2 linked regions of the Elephas maximus indicus genome follow. The protein of the gene in region 1 purifies or fractionates together with the protein of each later gene. This does not show direct contact. Links are inferred from orthologs where the notes say so. Each region holds a gene or a part of one and is shown in the gene's direction. Other genes may lie near its edges.

The links.
Region 2: the proteins of CHM (region 1) and RABGGTA purify together in Homo sapiens (co-immunoprecipitation; 4 studies listed by BioGRID and IntAct, counting the BioPlex papers as one, with this or other methods). This does not show direct contact. The link is inferred for Elephas maximus indicus from reciprocal best matches to the Homo sapiens genes CHM and RABGGTA.

What each region holds. Positions count from the first base shown.
Region 1 is NC_064846.1:78,960,752-78,970,083, forward strand, and holds the start of CHM (rab proteins geranylgeranyltransferase component A 1), read left to right. Parts: upstream 1-5,662; 5' UTR 5,663-5,683; coding exon 5,684-5,732; intron 5,733-9,332. UniProt on the Homo sapiens protein: Substrate-binding subunit of the Rab geranylgeranyltransferase (GGTase) complex.
Region 2 is NC_064828.1:35,621,097-35,630,668, reverse strand, and holds the start of RABGGTA (geranylgeranyl transferase type-2 subunit alpha), read left to right. Parts: upstream 1-5,120; 5' UTR 5,121-5,216; intron 5,217-9,572. UniProt on the Homo sapiens protein: Catalyzes the transfer of a geranylgeranyl moiety from geranylgeranyl diphosphate to both cysteines of Rab proteins with the C-terminal sequence -XXCC, -XCXC and -CCXX, such as RAB1A, RAB3A, RAB5A and RAB7A.

The sequences.
Region 1 (9,332 bases):
GAAATCCTCATAGCCTGAGAGATCAAAACACAACATAATCTTGTAGATTAAATAGTGCCTCATTGACATCATAGAGGTAGGATTTATGACACATAGGAAAATCACATCAGATTTCAAAATGGTGGACAATCACACAATACTGGGAATCAAGGCCTAGCCAAGTTGACACATATTTATGGGGGACACAATTCAATTCATAACAGGGCCTAATCATTGCTTCCACGTGTAGCAGGTGGAATACACCACTGTGAGCAGTTCTGCAGCATTCCACCGTAGTTGTTTCTGCTTCTTAGCTGTTAGTACTGCTTTTGTTATAATGAAGGATACATACCCGTTGCCATCGAGTCAATTCCAAGTCATAGTGACCCTATAGGACAAAGCAGAATCTCCCCATAGAGTTTCCAAGGAGCGCCTGGTGGATTCAAACTGGTGACATTTTGGTTAGCAGCCGTAGCACTACGCCACCAGGGTTTCTGAAGGATACATAGTAGTAGCAATTTTTCTGAGATTCAATTTCCTTTAGTTTTATTTATTTGGCTTGTCAGCAGTGCTTTTGCAGTAATGAAAAATGCATTGCAGTGGTAATTTTCCTGAGATAAAAAAATCTCTTGGCTTTATTTATTTGGGCTATAAGTATTGCTTTTGCAGTAAGGAAGAATGCATTGTATCATGTTTTGAAAAGGTTCATGAAAAATCATAAAAAGGATAAGAAGTAGGTAACTAGAATGAAATATATGTGCAGTCATTGCCAGGTGCCCTCATGTTTTACCTCCTGTTTTGCAAAATTTCAAGAAATAAAAAAAAAAAAAAGATTTTATCATTGACTCATCGGCAGGATTTACAATACTCAGGGTCCGCTGAGACATATGTTATCCCAGATAATGGGTATCAAAATCCATAAATCATAACAAAGGTCCGGAATTGATCCTTTATTCAGCATGTCTTCCATTAGTGAAAATATAGTATCAACAAGAAATTCAAAGGAGAAAATAACTGTGTCCTGATAATCAATGCAATGTTTCCATCCCCATAAACTGAAACTCAGTACTCTATAAGCATAACCCTCCCTATTCCACTCCCTTCTGCCCCTGGTAACCACTAATAAACTTTGGCCTCTATACATTTGCCTTTTCTTATCTTTTTGTGTAAGTAAGGTCATACAATATTTGTCCTTTTGTGATTGATTTATTTCACTCAGTTTAAAGTCTTCAAGCTTCATCAATATTGTAGCATATAGTATATTTTTTTGAGATAAATCTGGCAAGAATTGTTGATGAATTGGTTTAAGGGTGAAAGAGAGTGATGTATCAAGGATGACTGTTAGGCTTTTGACTTGAGTAACTGGGTAGAAGGTCATCCCATTTCTAAGATATGGAACATGGGCAAAGAGAAGGTTTGGAATGTTAAGGTTTGGAATGTTAAGGATTGGAATGTTAAGGATTGGAATGTTAAGGAGTTCAGTATTGGACGCGTTCAGCAGAGATGTTCAGTAAGGGCTTGGATATGTGTATCTGGAACTCAAAGGACAGGCCAGGCATAGAAAGAAAAAAAAAGGCCTACAGACCATTAAATTACTGGTTTTTAAAAAGATAATACGTCAGATCCTACAGTTCAGCAAACTTCTTGAATACAGTGTAGATGTTCCAGGAATCATGGCTTTTCAACTCAGGAAACAATTAAATACATAATTAGTGGCACAGTGATTTCACAGGATAGTCAATTATTAGGTAGCCATCATTTCATTGTACTGCAACTTATCCAAATAAAACATTTAAGCTCTCAAAAGATTTTCTTAGAATAATAGAATAGACAGCAATTCAGCTGCTTTGCTTTCTGCTCTTTTACTGACATTATCACCTCCTGTGTCTATCTATACTTCACATAATATCTACAACAACACATGCATTTGAAAGAAAAAGGTATTTTGAACATTTTCTCCATGCAGGGGCTTTAAATTTTTTTTAAGTGATGATCTTTTCAATGTCCAGGGAAGGTGTGAGTCATATAATAACTTTAGAAGGAAGGCTAAATAGAAGCTGGTAATTTTCTCTCTCTGAGGGACATACTGTTTATTCCCAGGGAAAAAAGGGGGGTTTCAAATTGGGGCTGGGTAGATTGGAAAATTAACACTAAAGTAATTATAGGTTTATTTTGTTTTACCTTACTAAATGTAAGCTTCATGAAGACGGGAGATTTTTGTTTGCTTTGTTCATTGCTATAACCCCAGCATCTAAAAGAGTGCCTTGCATGTAGTAGGTGCTCAATGAATAGTTGAGGAATAAATGAATTAATGAGTTATGTCTTCACAATGTAATTGTGTTTGTTAGAAAACTACTGACTTCCTAGAAAGTTAGAAATACATACACATATGTATACATGTATGCACTTATATCTCCAAAGTAAGACAGAAATATTTTTATTTATCATTATTACTATTTTTAACCATTCATGCTATGGATTCTCACTGTTAGAGAAGATTGCAGAAAGTTTCCTGTGTTTACTCTGGGAAATATATTAATTTCCATTTCCACTGTTGATAGTAAGAGTCTCAGAGATAAGATCTATTTCACTTCTGAGAATACTCAAAACTTTCTTTTCATACCAAGATGAATAGCAGAGTGATTTACTGAACAATATTTTACATTTCACTTCTCAGAGGAATCTCTTTTACATGATATATTCATCAGAGGACCATATCATAAAAGAATTGTTCGATACAACAAGATGAACAAGAAAATAAGTTAATGGAACATGTACTACATATTGCCAATGACCAGGGTAAAATGCAACATAAATACAGCCAAAAAATCAGCAAAATACATTTTTAAAGATTTTTCATGTTCTAGCAAGATTAACAAACATGTATTTAGGGTCTACGACATGCAGGACACACATGATAGTGATAGGCAGATACAAAAGTGAAGAAGGCTTAGTCCCTGTTCTCATAAGGCTTACCATCTATTAGGGGAGTCAGAACTAAGTTCAGTTCAGCAAATATTTATTGAATTCCTCCTATACACCAGGCTTAGGTTGGATGCAAGGGGTAACAAGATAAATAAGACACAGTCCCTGTCATACCGGAAAAACAAACAAACAAACAAAAAAAACCCAAAGCCATCGCCTTCAAGTTGATTCCGACTCATGGTGGCCCCGTGCGTTATAGAGTAGAACTGCTCCACAGGGTTTTCTTGGCTGTAATCTTTATGGAAAGGAGCCCTGGTGGTGCAGCAGTTAAAGCATTTGGTTGCCAACCCAAAGGTCGTTGGTTCAAACCCACTAGCTGCTCTACAGGAGAAAGATGTGGCAATCTGCTTCCGTAAAGATTACAGCCTTGGAAACACTATGGGGCAGTTCTACTCTATCCTATAGGGTCGCTGTGAGTCGAAATCGACTCGATGGCAATGGTGTTTTTTTTTTTTTAATAGTGTCTCCATAAGTTAGAATCGGCTGGATGGCATGGGTTTGGTTTTTAATCTTTATGGAAGCAGATTGCCAGGCCTTTCTTCCACAGTGCTGCTGGGTGGGTTCTAACTTCCATCCTTTAGCTTAGCAGCTGATAGCAAACTGCTTGAGCCACCCAGGAACCTCCCTGTCATACAGGAGCTTATAATTTAGCTTGCTGTATATCTGGGTGTGTATTTTGCGTGTGTGCATGGGGATATGTGTACTACGTAGGGACTGACATAAATGTAAATAATTTCAGTGAATATGGCAGGTTATGACACAGTGGTAGCACCATTGGAGAACCTTAGCTCAACATGGGTAGGGAATGAAAGGAAGAGGAAGTGGAAGCTGAGCTGATTCTTGAGGATAAGTATTAGCTAAAGAATGGGAAGATCATTCCATTTTGAAAGGACAGTGTGGGGTGGTTCAGGAAGATGGAAAAGATGACAGTGTGTCTGGCAAACTACAAGCAACTAAGAGGACAGGTGGTGTAAGAGAAGGACAGGTTCACCACTGCACCCTCTCTTTGAATTATTCAGTAAAATAGTTAAGTAATTTCTGGGGTCAAAAATATTCTCTCACTCCCCTGCACAAGCCTCACTTTTTTGCTTTGGTATCGTCAGACAGACAGCAAAGCATTTTAAAAAATGGGGTGGAGAGGGCTTGAAAATACTTATGAAAGCTATGTTAGCTGCTTGTCATAGACCACCTACAAAACAAAACAAAACAAAAAACCCCACTGCCATCGAGTTGAGTCCAACACATAGTGACCTTATAGGAAAAGAGTAGAACTGCTCCATAGGATTTTTTAATCTTTAGGGAAGCTGAATGCCACACCTTTCTTCTGCAGAGCGGCTGGTGGTAGCAGTCCAGTGCTTAACCACTGTACCACCAGTGCTCCTAGACCACTCATAAACAAACAAAAAACTCAAACCCATTGCCGTCGAGTCGATTCCAACTCATAACCCTAATCGAATACGATGACTTTAATGTAAAGGCCATTTCACCGTGACCATTTCTGTAGTAGCTTATTAGGAGAATCATATAAGGACTCATCTTACACATATAGAAACTCAGATTCGAATTCAACAAACGCTTATCAAACATCTACTATGCTTTCGTATAATTTTACCTTCATGTAAAGCTAGGCTAATTTTGCAAATATATATCGCCAGGGTGGCTGTTCGGCCTAACTAGAATAAATACCACGCGGTGAGGTTTTCATTCTGGTGAAACTAAACCAAAACCTTTTACCGTGGAGTGGATTTTGATTCACAGCGACCCTACAGGACAGAGTGGAACTGCCCAATAGAGTTTCCAAGGCTGCAGTCTTTGTGGAAACAGACTGCCACATCTTTCTCCTGCAGAGCAGCTAGCGGATGGAACCTCAGACTTTCCGGTTTGCAGCTAAGTCCTTTAACCACTGTGCCACCAGGGCTCCTGGTGAAACTAAGGCGAAGGGTTTATGGGGGGGGGTGTGGTGGGGAGGCTTATTGGGGAACGAGCCCTTGGTGCTGCAGTGGTTAAGCGCTTCGCTGGGCTGCTAACGGAAAGATTAGCAGCTGTCGGACACACTAGCTGGGCGCGGGAGAAAGATATGGCAATGTGCTTCGGTAAAGACTGCAGCCTTGGAAACACTATGGGACAGTTCTACTCTGTCCTATAGTGTCACAATGCGTGGCAATAGACTTCACAACGATTTTTTTTTAAATAGGTTTCAATGGGGAGACATAAGAGACCAAAAAGATTGGCAGTAGGAGACTCAGCCCAGCTAACAACATCGGTGTGAAAAATTATGCCACGAGGGCCAAAACGAAAGCACAGACACACTGGGGAAACGGTTTTCCAGGCTGGAATGATAACCTCTCTTGTTCACAGAACAATTCCCTCGCAACTTCATTCTGCCTTTTGGGTCTCCGAACACTTCTTTCTTTATCTTAGTTAAGGAGTACCCAGGTCTTCTCACATTCATCCTAGCCATCGGAATACAAATCTGCATCTCTTTCCTACCCCAAGCCTCCAGCCTAAATGCACTGCTTCATAAAGCCTGGAAAGTAAATCGAGCTTGCAACATTTGCGTAAAAATCGCAAATATAACGCTGCAGCCGTCTACCTGGGCCTTCACTCAAGAACTACAATACCCAGAATGCAGAGTTTTCCCTTCCGCCTTCCACCGTGGGAACGCTTAACTTGATTTCATTTCCACAAGCAGTAGTCACATGACACGTTTCCTGTAAAGATGGCGAATAATCTCCCTTCGGAATTTGATGTGATCGTAATAGGGACGGGTATGTGTGGCCCTAGTACTCCACGGACTAAATGTGGGATGCCTGTCTCATTCCTGCCTTCTTTGTCAGTGACGAGAGTTAGCGAGAAACGCCGGGGGTCGAGTTTGGGAGGGCGGACGGGAAGGAAGTGAGGTATTCTGGAGTCAGCGCGGGACTTGGCAAGCTCCAGGGAGGGGCTTGGACCCGCGGTGCTTAGCGACATCTGAGTAGGGGTATATCTGGTCGATGCCGATTGTTGAGGTTGGTTGCTGCGGCTGATTCCTGTAATTTCCTTAAAGGGAGGTGGGTTTGCAGTGTCATGAGGACGGAGGGTCGGGATTTTATCCATGCATACGCCTTTGACATGACATTACGATTCACTCCTTGTTGAGTTCAACGTGATATTCCTCATTCCTTTTGTTTCGTCGTTTCATAGGACTTTTTTCGTATCTTTATATGATTATAGGGTGTCGTGCAGTTAAAAATTGCTCGGTTACAGCTTAATCCTCAGTTTTGCAAGAAAGATGCTCAGTTGTTGCCCATGTACGTATTAATTTATTAGGGCAGGGAAACGGATTTTTTTTTCTCTATTGTGTTGAGCAGCCTAGGAAATTGTATTTTGTTGAGGCAGCCATTATTCCTGCTTTACGGTACTGAAAAAAACCATTCTGCTTTCTATCATCCACCTATCCACGCACAACCAGATATGCTGAGAACAAGCTTTTGTGAGTTCCAGTTCAGGTCTGTGACCTTATTGTCCCCTTGCTAATCATTCATTTGTTCTCCATGTTTTGGGTGGAGCCAGAAACCCCCCTGCAATTTCTAGTTGGCAAATTCAACATACAACGTGTGGCAGCGGACGTGTGGAATCAATTGACATTTTGTTTTTCTTAACTGGTTAGAGGGTGGGTTTTAGATGGGGTGAAAGAGGTTGTTGGGTGGGGTTTACTCCCGTCTGCGGAATGTAGTAGGCTCTGGGGTATTGGGCCCATTGTGTTGATGAATTCCGTTCGTTGTCTTTTCAAACTGTAGGAGCAGCCATGTTTTTAGGGTGGGAGTAAAAATTATAGCTACTTTTTTTTGTGTGAATGATTATTATTTGCTAGTCGATGTGCCAGCTAAGCACTTGACAAACCTTATGTAATTCTGACAGCAACCCTGTTAGAGTAGGTATTATTCTCTACATTTTACAGAAGAGGAAAAGGAGGATTAGAAAGGCTATAATTTGCTCATGATCACGCAGCTGGTAAATTTCCAAAGGCCCATGTCATAGCAGAAGGAGAATCAGTGGTTCTGATCCTCAGAGTTAACCCAGATTAGTAGAGGTCATTGGAAAAACTTGGTTCTAGAATTTGCTTGGCTTTTACCTTGCTGTGTGACTTTGAGGGAGGTTCAAGCACTTTAATCTCTCTGAGCCTGATTTTTCATATTTGTGAGTGTAGGGAGGGTAAACTAGTAGCTTTTAATGTGTTGTCTAACCAGAAAGCCTTTTATACTCGTTGTACCTAGGTAATTGTTCTCAGAACAACAGGGACATGTTATTCCCAACTTGAAAACAACTGCAGGTGCAGATAACCCAGCTGTGAGCAGACGTTGGATGAAAGCTGGAAGGAGCCAATTGAATATTCATTTATTCCCTCCATTCTCTTCTAAAACTGAGAAAAAAAATCCGTTTTAGAATAGCTGTTATTACCACACTTGCCTTTCTTTTTGGTTGTCTAGGAATCCATCCATTTTGGTCTTTTCTTTCTTTCCTGTCTTTTTAGTGACCTTTTGCTTTCTTCATGTATAATGTCCTCCCACAAGTAGTCTGGTCTTCGGCCATTAGCATCCAATGTATCAAATCTAATCTTGAGATGATCTCTAAATTCAGGTGGGATATACTCAAGGTTGTATTTTGGCTCTCATAGACTTGCTCTAATTTTCTTCAGCTTCAACTTGAACTCGCATATGAGCAGTTGATGGCCTGTTCTGCAGTCCACCCCTGGCCTTGTTCTGACTGATGATATTGAGCTTCTCCATAGTCTCTTTCCACAGATGTAGTTGATTTGATTCCTGTGTATTCCATCTGGCAAGGTCCGTGTGTATAGCTGGCCTTTCTGTTGCTGAAAAATGTATTTTCAATGAAGAAGTCATTCATCTTGCAAAATTCACTACACTAAATAATCCCAGGCTGTTATGGATTGAATTGTCCCCCCCACCCCCCCAAAAATATGTGTTGTACATCATAACCTCTATGCCTGCGGTTAGTCTGGTTAGAATTTTGCAAGACTAACCATAGGCATAGAGGTAATGATGCACAACATATATTTTTTGGGGACACTATTCAATCCATAACAGCCTGGGATTATTTAGGCTAGTGACAACCACTCATTTCTCAGGATATTCAAACCATGTTTATTGAGAACCTAGTCCCTGCCCTTGTGAAGGTTACTGTATTGTCAATACTCAGGAATTGTTTGGACTTCTGACAGTCACACCCCCAAAGCTGTTCTTAAGCCTATGTGAGCTTTTCATCACGTCCTTCTTGCTTTCTGCAGGCCATTTAGAGATCTAGTCTGCATCGTTTTCCTTTTTAAAACACATCAGTCACTTTATCTTCTGGAGTTCTTCCCCTAAAATGGGCTGTGGAGTAAGCTAGCTTAATTTTTTTCTTGCAGAGGGTGAACACATAGATCCTAGTTGATTTAAGAGTTTTACTACTAAGGATTATAAGGTTGCTATGAGCTAGAATCGACTCAATGGCATACAGCAACAACAACAATACTAAAGATATGGGTAAAGAGATGGGATAAAAAATAACAAACATGGGGAAGCTTACAAGGGTTACGGCCCTAAATCTTGACTGCCTTGCTAGATGGTGCTCAGTATAGTATAATAATAGATGTGGCAACATGGTTTAATGGTAATTGCTTGACCTTCCCCCTGTGTAACCTTGGGAAAATTGCATAACCTCTTGGGATTTCAGCTCATACATAAAGTGGGAGATTTGAATTAGGGGATTTCTAAGGTAGGGTTCTACCAGCTCGAAAATTTACCATTGTGTGTGCATAATTATGACCCTGTGTCATCAAGAAAAGGCTGATTTTATTAAAATTGTGCTTCAGATGAAAGTTTTCAGAGTAAATTAATTTCTCATTAAACAATTAATACTCATTGTTTTGTGACATTGATTGCCAACCACACGACATGTCAGCACTCTCCCTTCTGGACCTTGGGTTCCCCTTTACCAGCTTTCCTGTCCCCTCCTGTCTTCTAGTCCTTTGCCCTAGGTTGGTGTGCCCATTTAGTCTCATTTTGTTTTATGGGCCTGTCTAATCTTTGACTGAAGCGTGAACCTCAGGAGTAACTTTAGTACTGAGTTATAAGGGGGTCTGGGGGCCATACTCTCGGGGTTTCTCCTCTCAGTCAGACCAGTAAGTCTGGTCTTTTTTGTGTGAGTTAGAATTTCATTCTACATTTATCTCTTGCCCTGTCCAGGACCCTCTGTTGTGATCACTGTCAGGGCAGTTGGTGGTGGTAGCCAGGCACCATCTAGTTGTGGAAAAGGCTGGATTCTGTTCTGTATAGTCTTTTTAAGAAGTCAGTGTTGAATATATTTGAAAAAATTTCTATCAAAAT
Region 2 (9,572 bases), on another chromosome or scaffold:
TGTCCTAGCTTCTTGCTTTGTTTTGTTTTGATATGCCCAAATGGGCTGCTAGAGTGAGCTAGCTTGTTTTTGCCTTTGAAGCGCTGACATCCTGTCACCATATGGCTAGAGGTGTTATCAGGTATATCAGTCTAGGAGTCCGTTCACTTTTCTTGTATGAATTCAGCTCAAGTGTCCAGGTACCTGGTCAACAAGTGTGTGGTACAGGCTTTATCCTACAGTCTTAAGGGGGCAGGAGTGATTCATGTAGGTACCAGTGTCTGGTTGCAGCGGGGGGGGGTCACGCTCTGAACAAGGGAGGGGGCTGAGAACCATCCCCCATGTGTCTGTGAGGAAAGCACATCCCTGTTCCCTATAGTGTACAGGTGGGCGGGCTCTGCAGATAGACCATGGGCATCCAATGCTTTTGGTTGTAAGGGCTAAGAGGTACCAGTTATCCTTGGACCCCTGTCACAGGTGGCTGGGTGACCTGAGTGGAGCCACCAGTCCTTATGCTCCTGATGTGGGTGAGGACCCTGTTTAATAGGCAAAGTGTTATCAAATATCAAACACCCACCTCTCCACCAAACAGCTGAAACAGTTGCAGTCTGCCAACAAGGGCCTATTCTCCTGAAACAGGCCTGCATAGGTCCATGCAGGGGGGAAAGTTATTCAAAGTCCATGAACCATTTATGCTTGGACGGGAGCCGCTTCTGCCCTGAGATACCCCGGTTAGTGGAGCTGGCAAATTATCTTTTCCCCCAATTGTGAATTTATTCCTACTCCAAGGCCGGAAAGATGGCTCTGGGTGCTCAGTAGGACCCATTTCAGGCCCAGGGAAATCAACAGCCACTGAAGCCAGCTTGGGGGCAGGGGGCACAGTAAAGTATATGCAAGTACTTAGCTTTTGCTGAGAGCGCCATTCTTCTCTGGTTCCAGAGGTGTGAGTAGGCTGTGCGACTGCGCTTCTTCCTGAGGAAACTGTGGCTGAATGCTACCACCAGCCCACTGCAGCCGCCCCCGGGAATGGTGCCTGAGGGTTCCCGGCAATTCAGGTGCAGCAACTCTGCTCTACCTCTGAACTGTCTCTCCCTCCCCCTGCCACTCAGTCCATTTTCTAACTTTGCCTTTGATGTCCAGGGCTCCTAGCTTGTCATAAATATAATCATTTCACTTGTTTTTTTGGGTCTTTGTTGTAAGAGGGATCGCTAGAAGCATCTGGCTATTCCACCATCTTTGCCCCGCCTCTCAGTTATCTCCAATTTTGAGAATGGCATCTATGTCCTTATCCAACATGTCACTGAAAAAATACCACCAGAAGCGACCTCCCTCCAGGCTGGCAAAGATACTCAGCATTAATTCAGGGATAAATTATATCTACATCCTATCATCCCACTCACATTTCAACATTTTGTTCCTAAACATCTAAGAGGTATGATATCATTCAGGAACCCGGGCTCCAGCCACCTCTGTTATGTGACTTCATGTTACTGAATACCTCTGGGCTGCTGGAAAATGAGCGTGAGCGAGATGATCCAGCAAGCCCTCTCCAGCTCTGACGTCATGTTTTGTGGTGGTCAGGTAAGAGAGAAAGAATCAGGAAACTGGGGGCAGAGGAGAGCCTGTGTTGCAACAAGAGATGACAACTGGGCACTTGCGCCCATGCAGAGGTGAGCTTCAGCTCTCACTTATCACCGTACCGTAGGCACCCTGTCATTTCCTTTCATTTCCTTTCCCGTAACTCATGCTGACCTTCCCTCTTCTCGACATTTCTCTTCCCCTCAAGCCCCTAGAGTGCTCCCGATCCAATTTTCTTTCTTTAAATATTTTATTGTGATTTTGGAGAAAATTTACATTAGGTTCTCATTTAACAATTTCTATACATATTATACATTGGTTACACTTTTCACAACGTGTCAGCATTCTCATTATTTCCATTCTGTTGTTCTGTTTCCATTCATCCAGCTTCCTTGTCCTCTCTTACCTTCTCATATTTGGTTTAGGGTAAATGTTGACTGTTAGGTCTCATTTATATGATTGTTTAGAGAAACACAGTACTCATGGGTGATGCCGTTTATTTTGGGGGCCATTATGTCTTTTGGCTGATAGGTGACTTCTGGGAGTGGTTTGAGTCCCAGGTTTAAGGGGTATTCCAGGCCGATAGTTTCTACTCCCTCTAGTCTTCACTGGTGCAGTAAGTCTGGTCTTTTTCAGGAACTTGAGTTTTGTCCCCGCCCCCCCCATTTTCTCCAGGACTATCTATTGTGTCCCTGGTCAGAACGGTAGGTAGTGGTAGCTGGGCACCATCTAGTTCTTCTGGCCTCAAGGTAGGTAAGGGCATAGTTTGTGTAGACTATTGGTCCTATAGGCTAGTTTCTTCTTTGAGACTTTGGTTTCCTTCTTTCTCTTTTGCTTCAGACTCGCAGAGACCAATAATTGTATCTTAGTCCCCATTCGAATTTCTAAAATCCAATCACTTGATTGGAAACCCTGGTGGCATAGTGGTTAAGAGCTACGGCTGCTAACTGAAATTTCAGGAGTCTGAATCCACCAGGCACTGCTGAAACCCTGTGGGGTAGTTCTGTCCTGTCTTTTAGGGTCTCTATGAGTCGGAACTGACTTGATGGTATTGGGTTTGGGTTTTGGTTAATCACTTGATAATCTGATGATTTACAGCTCCAAGAAGATCCAGATCATTGGGCCTGAATTCCCCTTGCTGGCTCCCCCCAACATACCTACCTCCAGCTTCCTGGAAGTCTCAAGTCCCCTCCACACTCTTCACACAGTCCCTGTCATCCTCATACCTTCTGCCTTTGCCGGGTGCAGCAGAGCACAGCAGGCAAGGTGAGGTTGGAGGGAAAGTTATTAAGAGTGTCTTCTGGAACTGGTGTGAGCCAGGCTGTATCACTTACAAGCCATGTGACCCTGGACAGAGTCTCGGTTTCTTGTCATTATGTCGGTAAAGCATTTAATCATAGTGATTTCTCATCAATATTAGCTTCAAGGTCACAGAATCTTTTTTCTTTTTGTAGTCTATTTCTTCCTTTGCTTCTCTGCTGAGGCTTCTTCACCTCACACCCTCAGCCCTGCCCTCAACATGACTCTGCCAAAGCTTGTTTGTTGGCACCCTCATCGTCCCCCCTCCCCTGGCACACACCCCCCTGGAGTGCCCGTTGCCCAACCAGGCTGTGATTACTCCTTGCCCACACCTAATGTCCACACTGACCTCTGCTGCCTTCACCTCCCAATCCCAATCCAGGCAAGTATTCCTCGCTACCTTCAGGACATCTCCGCATAAAATCGAACATGTTAGAAGTGCCTCTTTCTCATCTCACATAAAGCTCACTCCCTCCACTCATGTTTCAAGACCTCTGTGACACCACAAATTCTCAAATCCCTTGGCTTTACAATTTGAGAGTCAATCTCAAAGTCACTTTTGTCCTTGAATCTTGGTCCTACCTGCTGCCAAGTCCTGCCTATAGCTCCTCAGAAATAGTGCTTCCACTCCCACCTCCAGGCAAGGCCATGGGGACATGGCTCTGGATTCCAGGCTCTGCCTAAATATTCCAGAGGATGTGGTTTTTCAGCCCCTTTCCCCACATTGCTGGAATCCCTGGGTAGTGCAAACACTTAAGCGCTCAGCTACTAACTGAATGGTTGACTGTTCCAATCCAACTGGACTTGTCTCAGAAGAAAGACCTGACAATCTGCTTCCAGACGGTCACAGCCTTGAAACCTTGAGAAAACCCTACGTAGCACAGTTCTACTCTGACACACATGGAGTCTCCATGAATTGGAATTAACTCAAGGGTAACTGGTTTTTCCTCCCCCAGTCACCTCTACTCCCTGTATTTCTAGTATATCACTAACCTCCTTCCCCACCCCTGTGACTAGCAATTTTAAAATAGGAGGATCAGGGCTGTATGCTTATGATTTATGTACTTTTAGCATATATGCTATGCTTCATTGTCAACCTTCACAGGAAGAAAAAAAGGATTGGGAGTTTAAGAAAAAATTGTAAACTATTACCTATCACCAGTTCTAGAACAAATCCCTCTTAACTCAGCCTGAGTCCCCTGAATACCTGTGGGCCCCTAGCCTACTCAGGCTTACATGTTGACATGTCTGTCTTAACCACTAGACCTGTCCTGTCCTTTCTAACTATTAGTCACAAGCTATTTAAATTTAAAGTAATCAAATTTAAATAAAATAAAAGATTCATTTCCTCAGCTTCACTAGCCATATTTCAAGTGCTAAATAGCTATATGTGGCTAGTGGCTACCACATTGGACGGCACAGATATAGAACATTTTCGTCATCACAGGAAGTTCTCTTGGACAGCCCTGCCCTAAACCATAAGCTCCGGAAGAGCAGGGAACATGTCTGTCTGGTTCAGCACCATATCCCAGGCAGCCAGCACACGGTCAGGCCCAATTCTGGCTCTAAATAAATATCAGTTGAGTGAATGAGTGTACATACTGTCACACCCTGCACCCAGCCCAGCACTAGCTCCAGTACCTGATCCTATATGCTCCTTCTACCTCCAGACCATGACTTCTATCAAGCTTTGATGGGGCCCTGACCCAGAGCTGATGACTCATTTCCTCCCTCCAAACCTTCTCTGGTCAGTGATTGGCTCAGGATCCTAGAGGCACCGAAACTGTGTGTGTGTGTTTGTGTGTGTGTGTGTGTGTGTGTGTGTGTGTGTGTGTGTTGGAGAGGGGAAGGAGAGAAAGAAAGGGTTTGGCAGCGGAAGAGGCCGTCAGCATGAGGTGACACCAAGGTTCTAGGTCTCAAGAAGCTCAAATTTGAGCTTCTGGCACTGGCCACCCCCACCTATGCAGTAGACAGACACCCAAGCTTTTATCTGATTTCTGGCCCTGTTGCCTCTGAGCTGTGTGACCTTAGGCAAGCTACTTAACCTCTGTGAACCCACTGTATGCACTGTCTCTTCATTATAAAATATGGGTAATCATATCTACTTCACATAGTTGGTGGGTCCATCAAAAAAGATATCTGGGGCTTAGTCGATACTCAGTCATTGCTTTTTCCTTTCTCTACATTGAGAGCAGTAAACTCCTTTCCTCAGATCATGGCCCTCAGACACCTGCATGGCTCCCACTTATCCCATACAGGAAGCCCAAAATAACTCCTGACAGCCCCTTTTGCCTTAAAGCAAGAGGCTTGTCCTGAGTTCCACTGCTCTTATCTCCAGAGACACCTGGATCAGCCAGCCGGTAAGTCTGTCTGGCGTTCTCTCTCCCACCATCACGTCATCATTGTACCTGCCTGAAATGCTCTTCCTGCCCTCTCTTCCCCACACCCAGGCCCTACCCTCTCGGAGGCACATTTTTTTTGAGACTCACTTCCTCTCTGAAGCCTACTTGACTCAACCTTCCTGATTTCAAGATTGCTAATCATCCCAGGATATTTCTTGCCTACTTCTGCCTTCATCCACCCTCTTTCTTCCTCCCTCAGTGACTGTGATTTTTCTCCCTTGGTGACTATGATGTAAGCCCCTACCTGAAAAATCTACATCTGTGGACATCTGTGTTCCCTGGTATCTGGTTGTACATGAATGTGTTAGAGCAAGGAGTAAGAGCAGATGGTGACCTAAAAAAAAAAAAAAAAAAGCAGATAGTGAAGTGGGAGGACGGGACCAGATCAGACATAGATTCCATTTGGCCCTCAGAAAGTTACTTAATGTTTCTGAGCCTCAGTTTCCGTGCAGGTTTGTCATGAAGATTAGAAATCATCATCATCACCCTCATTATTACCATTTACTGAGCTCTTACTCAGTGGCAGATGCTGTTCTAAGTAACCACTTCATATAGATTATTTTATCTTCACTTCAAGCCTACCAGGCAGGTAATATTATTTGTCCTGTATTTCTGTTGAAGAAACTAAGACACATAGAGGTTGAGTAACTACCCCAGGTCACACAGCTAGTGAGTGGCAATGCCTGGATTTGCACATAGGCGGTCCGACTCCAGAGCCCATGTTCTTAACCACTCTGCTTCCTGCCTCCCACTTGTAAAATCATGTGTGTGTGCACACACCTTGTATATGTGCTGCTCCCAATGAAGAGCGCACCTCTTTCCTCACTTGGACTGCAAGTACATGTGCCCAGGAAGAGTGTCTCTTTTCCTTTGTAATTTGCTACAGGGTCTAGAAAAGGGCATAGAAAAGGACATAGTGGGCACTTCACAGACATTTCCAGGGGCCAAGAAAGGTGTGGAGGCAATACAAAGATTAAAAGCCATACTTTCTGACCCAGATGTGGGTTATAAACATATACATGCAATACGGACATGCACTTCTCATAAAAACCTAACACACACACACTCAATCACACAGCCCAGGAGTCCACACACTCACAATTCAGCCAGACTGTCTTGGTTGCATTAACACACACACACACACTGGCCAGCTTGAGTTTTTCTGAATTGGTATAGGCCATGTGGATTGCTCCCATTCCTAAAAGTCAACATTTCTCACCATCAGGCCCGGCCATGCCAGCCCTCACTGTATGGTGTTTTGTTCATCCATTCAAATAACTACTAAGAACCTGGGCTAGGTACTGGGGAGGTAAGACAAAAAAATGTTCCTCCAGGAACATTCAGTCTGATAGGTGATGCCTGCACACAAACCAAGGGTTACAGTAGGTGCAGGGAAATAAGCACTATCTTTGACAGCACAGATGAAGGGCAATCAAGTCAGACTGGGGCATTTTGGAGAATTTCCTGGAGATGACTCTTGAGTTAAATCTTAAAGATGAACAGAAGTTAACCTGGCAAAGAAGGGATGTGGAGAAAGGAGAGTCACACAGAGGAAACAGATCAACATATTCGGGAAACTGCAAGTAGTAGTTCTAAAGGGTTGGATTGAGGGGTTTTTAACTGACAGAGGCAAGAAATAAGAAGAGAGTGTGGGCAGGGCTAAGTTGAAAGATTCAAACTCTGTCTTGAAAAGCTTTCAGGAGCTAGGGAAGGCTTTTAAACAGAGATGTGATGTGATCAAATCTGTTTTAGAAAGATTGATCCAGCAATAGCACAGAGATTTGATAATAGAGGAGACGGGTTGAGACGGGGGACCAGCAGGAAGACTTTCAATAATCCAGGGAAGAAATGAGGAGCTTGAACTCTTAGTGGCAGTGGGAATGGAAAAGATATTTACAAAATATTAAGAAGTAGGAAGGCAGTGGTGGTTCAGTGGCAAAATTCTCACCTTCCATGTGGTAGGCCCGGGTTCAATTCCTGGCCAATACACCTCAAGCATCTGACAGTGGAGGCTTGCCTGTTGCTATGATGCTGAACAAGTTTCAGTGGAGATTTCAGACTAAGACAGACTAGGAAGAAAGGCCAGATAATATATTTCTGAAAATCAGCCAATGAAAACCCTATAAATCGCAATGACCTAATATCATTGTTCACAGGGTCCCCATTGTTGCTGGGTGGAAAGCCCAGGTTTTATTTGGTGCGACCCGTCTCAGCCAATAAACAAGAGACCAAAGTGGAAGATCAGAAAGGTGTTTGTGATGGATTGAATTGTATTCCCCAAAAAATATGTGTTAACTTGGTTAGGCCATGATTTCCAGTATTGTGTGGTTGTCCTCCATTTTGTGATTGTAATTGTATGTTAAGAGGATTAGGGTGGGATTGTAACACCACCTTTACTCAGGTCACCTCCCTGATCCAAGGTAAAGGGAGTTTCCCTGGGGTGTGGCCTGCACCACCTTTTCTCTCTCAAGCGGTAAAAAGAAAGGGAAGCAAGCAGAGAGTTGGGGACCTCATACTACCAAGAATGAAGCACCAGGGAACAGAGCACGTCCTTTGGACCCAGGGTTCCTGTGCCTGAGAAGCTCCTCGACCAGGGGAAGTTTGAGGACAAGGAATGTTCCTCAGGAGCCCAAAGGGAGAGAAAGCCGTCCCCTGGAGCTGACACCCTGAATTTGGACTTTTAGCCTACTTTACTGTGAGGACATTTCTCTTTGTTAAAACCATCCACTTGTGGTATTTCTGTTATAGCAGCACTAGGTGACTAAGACAATGCTTTTATTTCATTGCGCAAGGAAAGGGACAGTTGGGGCTGCTGCTGCCAAGGCCGCTTAGTGAGGGTGAGAGGGAGGATTACTTTTTTGGGGTTTACAAGCAGGAAGTTCATACATGTTACATCAGCAACACTCTTAATCATACTACACAGGCACAATGGGGTTTACATATAACTTCATGCATCGCTTGTTCAGAAAATGGCAGTTAAACACCATCCAGAGGCGAGGAAGTTACTATGTATGAGGTACTTAATGAGCTAAAAGATTATCCTGAATGTCAACATGGTGTCTAAACCTGTTTCTGCCAATTTCCTCTAGTTTTGGGCAGCAGTTAAGGAAAGGGGAAAAGCTACAGTGTGTCAAGCAAGCTGCTTGAGGTAGTGGAATTTTCCAAAGCCTGGGGACCTGTCCTACCACGAGTTGGGGGTTGACTCCACTGCAGCTAACAACAATCACAAGGAGAAGTGGAGAGGGAATAGTGCCATTCACTACCATACCAAAAACTCCACTGCCATCAAGTCGATTCTGACTCCTAGGGACTCTCTAGGACAGAGTATAACTGTCCCATGGAGTTTCCAGGCTGGTGGATTTGAACTGCTGACCTTTCGGTTAGAGCTGAGCTCTTTTTAACCACTGTGCCACCAGGGCTCCATTCTCTACATTAAAAAAAAAAAATTAGGAAACATAAAAGGCCAAAGTTTAGATGGGATGGAGGAGGGGAGACCATGATACCTTTCTGATATTTGGAGTTTGAGGTGTCTCTGCGACATCCAGGTAATATCCACAGGCTTCTGAATATGTATGGTATGTACATACTGTACCCGTTGCCATCGTGTTGATTCCGACTCATAGCGACCCTACAGGACAGAGTAGAACTGCCCCATAGAGTTTCTAAGGAGCGCCTGGTGGATTTAAACTGCCGACCTTTTGGTTAGCAGCCGTAGCACTTAACCACTACGCCACATATTATTATTAAAGCTGCATCAGGGCCGCAGATATAAATTTAGGTGTCATCAGTTTACAGGCAGTAATCAAAACCATGAGTTTGGACGAAGTCACCCTGAGAAATTGTGGGGTGAGTTTTCCATGGACCAAGGTCAGAGCTCTAGGGTGCTCCAACTGCAAGCAGTTGAAGGCTCAGATTTGTTAACGTTCTCCTGAGAACGGTGTGTGAAGTTAGAAAAGGGTGAGGAAAGGGCCCTGGAAATCACCAATATTTAAGGGAGGAGATGAACAAATAAGAGATGGGCAATGGCTACAACCAATGACTGCCCTGACAGAACACAACAGAGAACTCCCGAGGGATGAGAGCAGTGGTATGCAGACCCCAAATTCTCATAAAAAATGATCAGACTTAATGGTCTGACTGAAACTAGAAGGACCCTAGAGGTCATGGTCCCCAGACCCTCTGTTAGCCCAAGACAGGAACCATTCCCAAAGCCAACTCTTCAGACTGGGATTGGACTGGACTATGGGGATAGAAAATGATACTGGTGAAGAGTGAGCTTCTTGGATCAAGTAGACACATGAGACTATGTGGGCA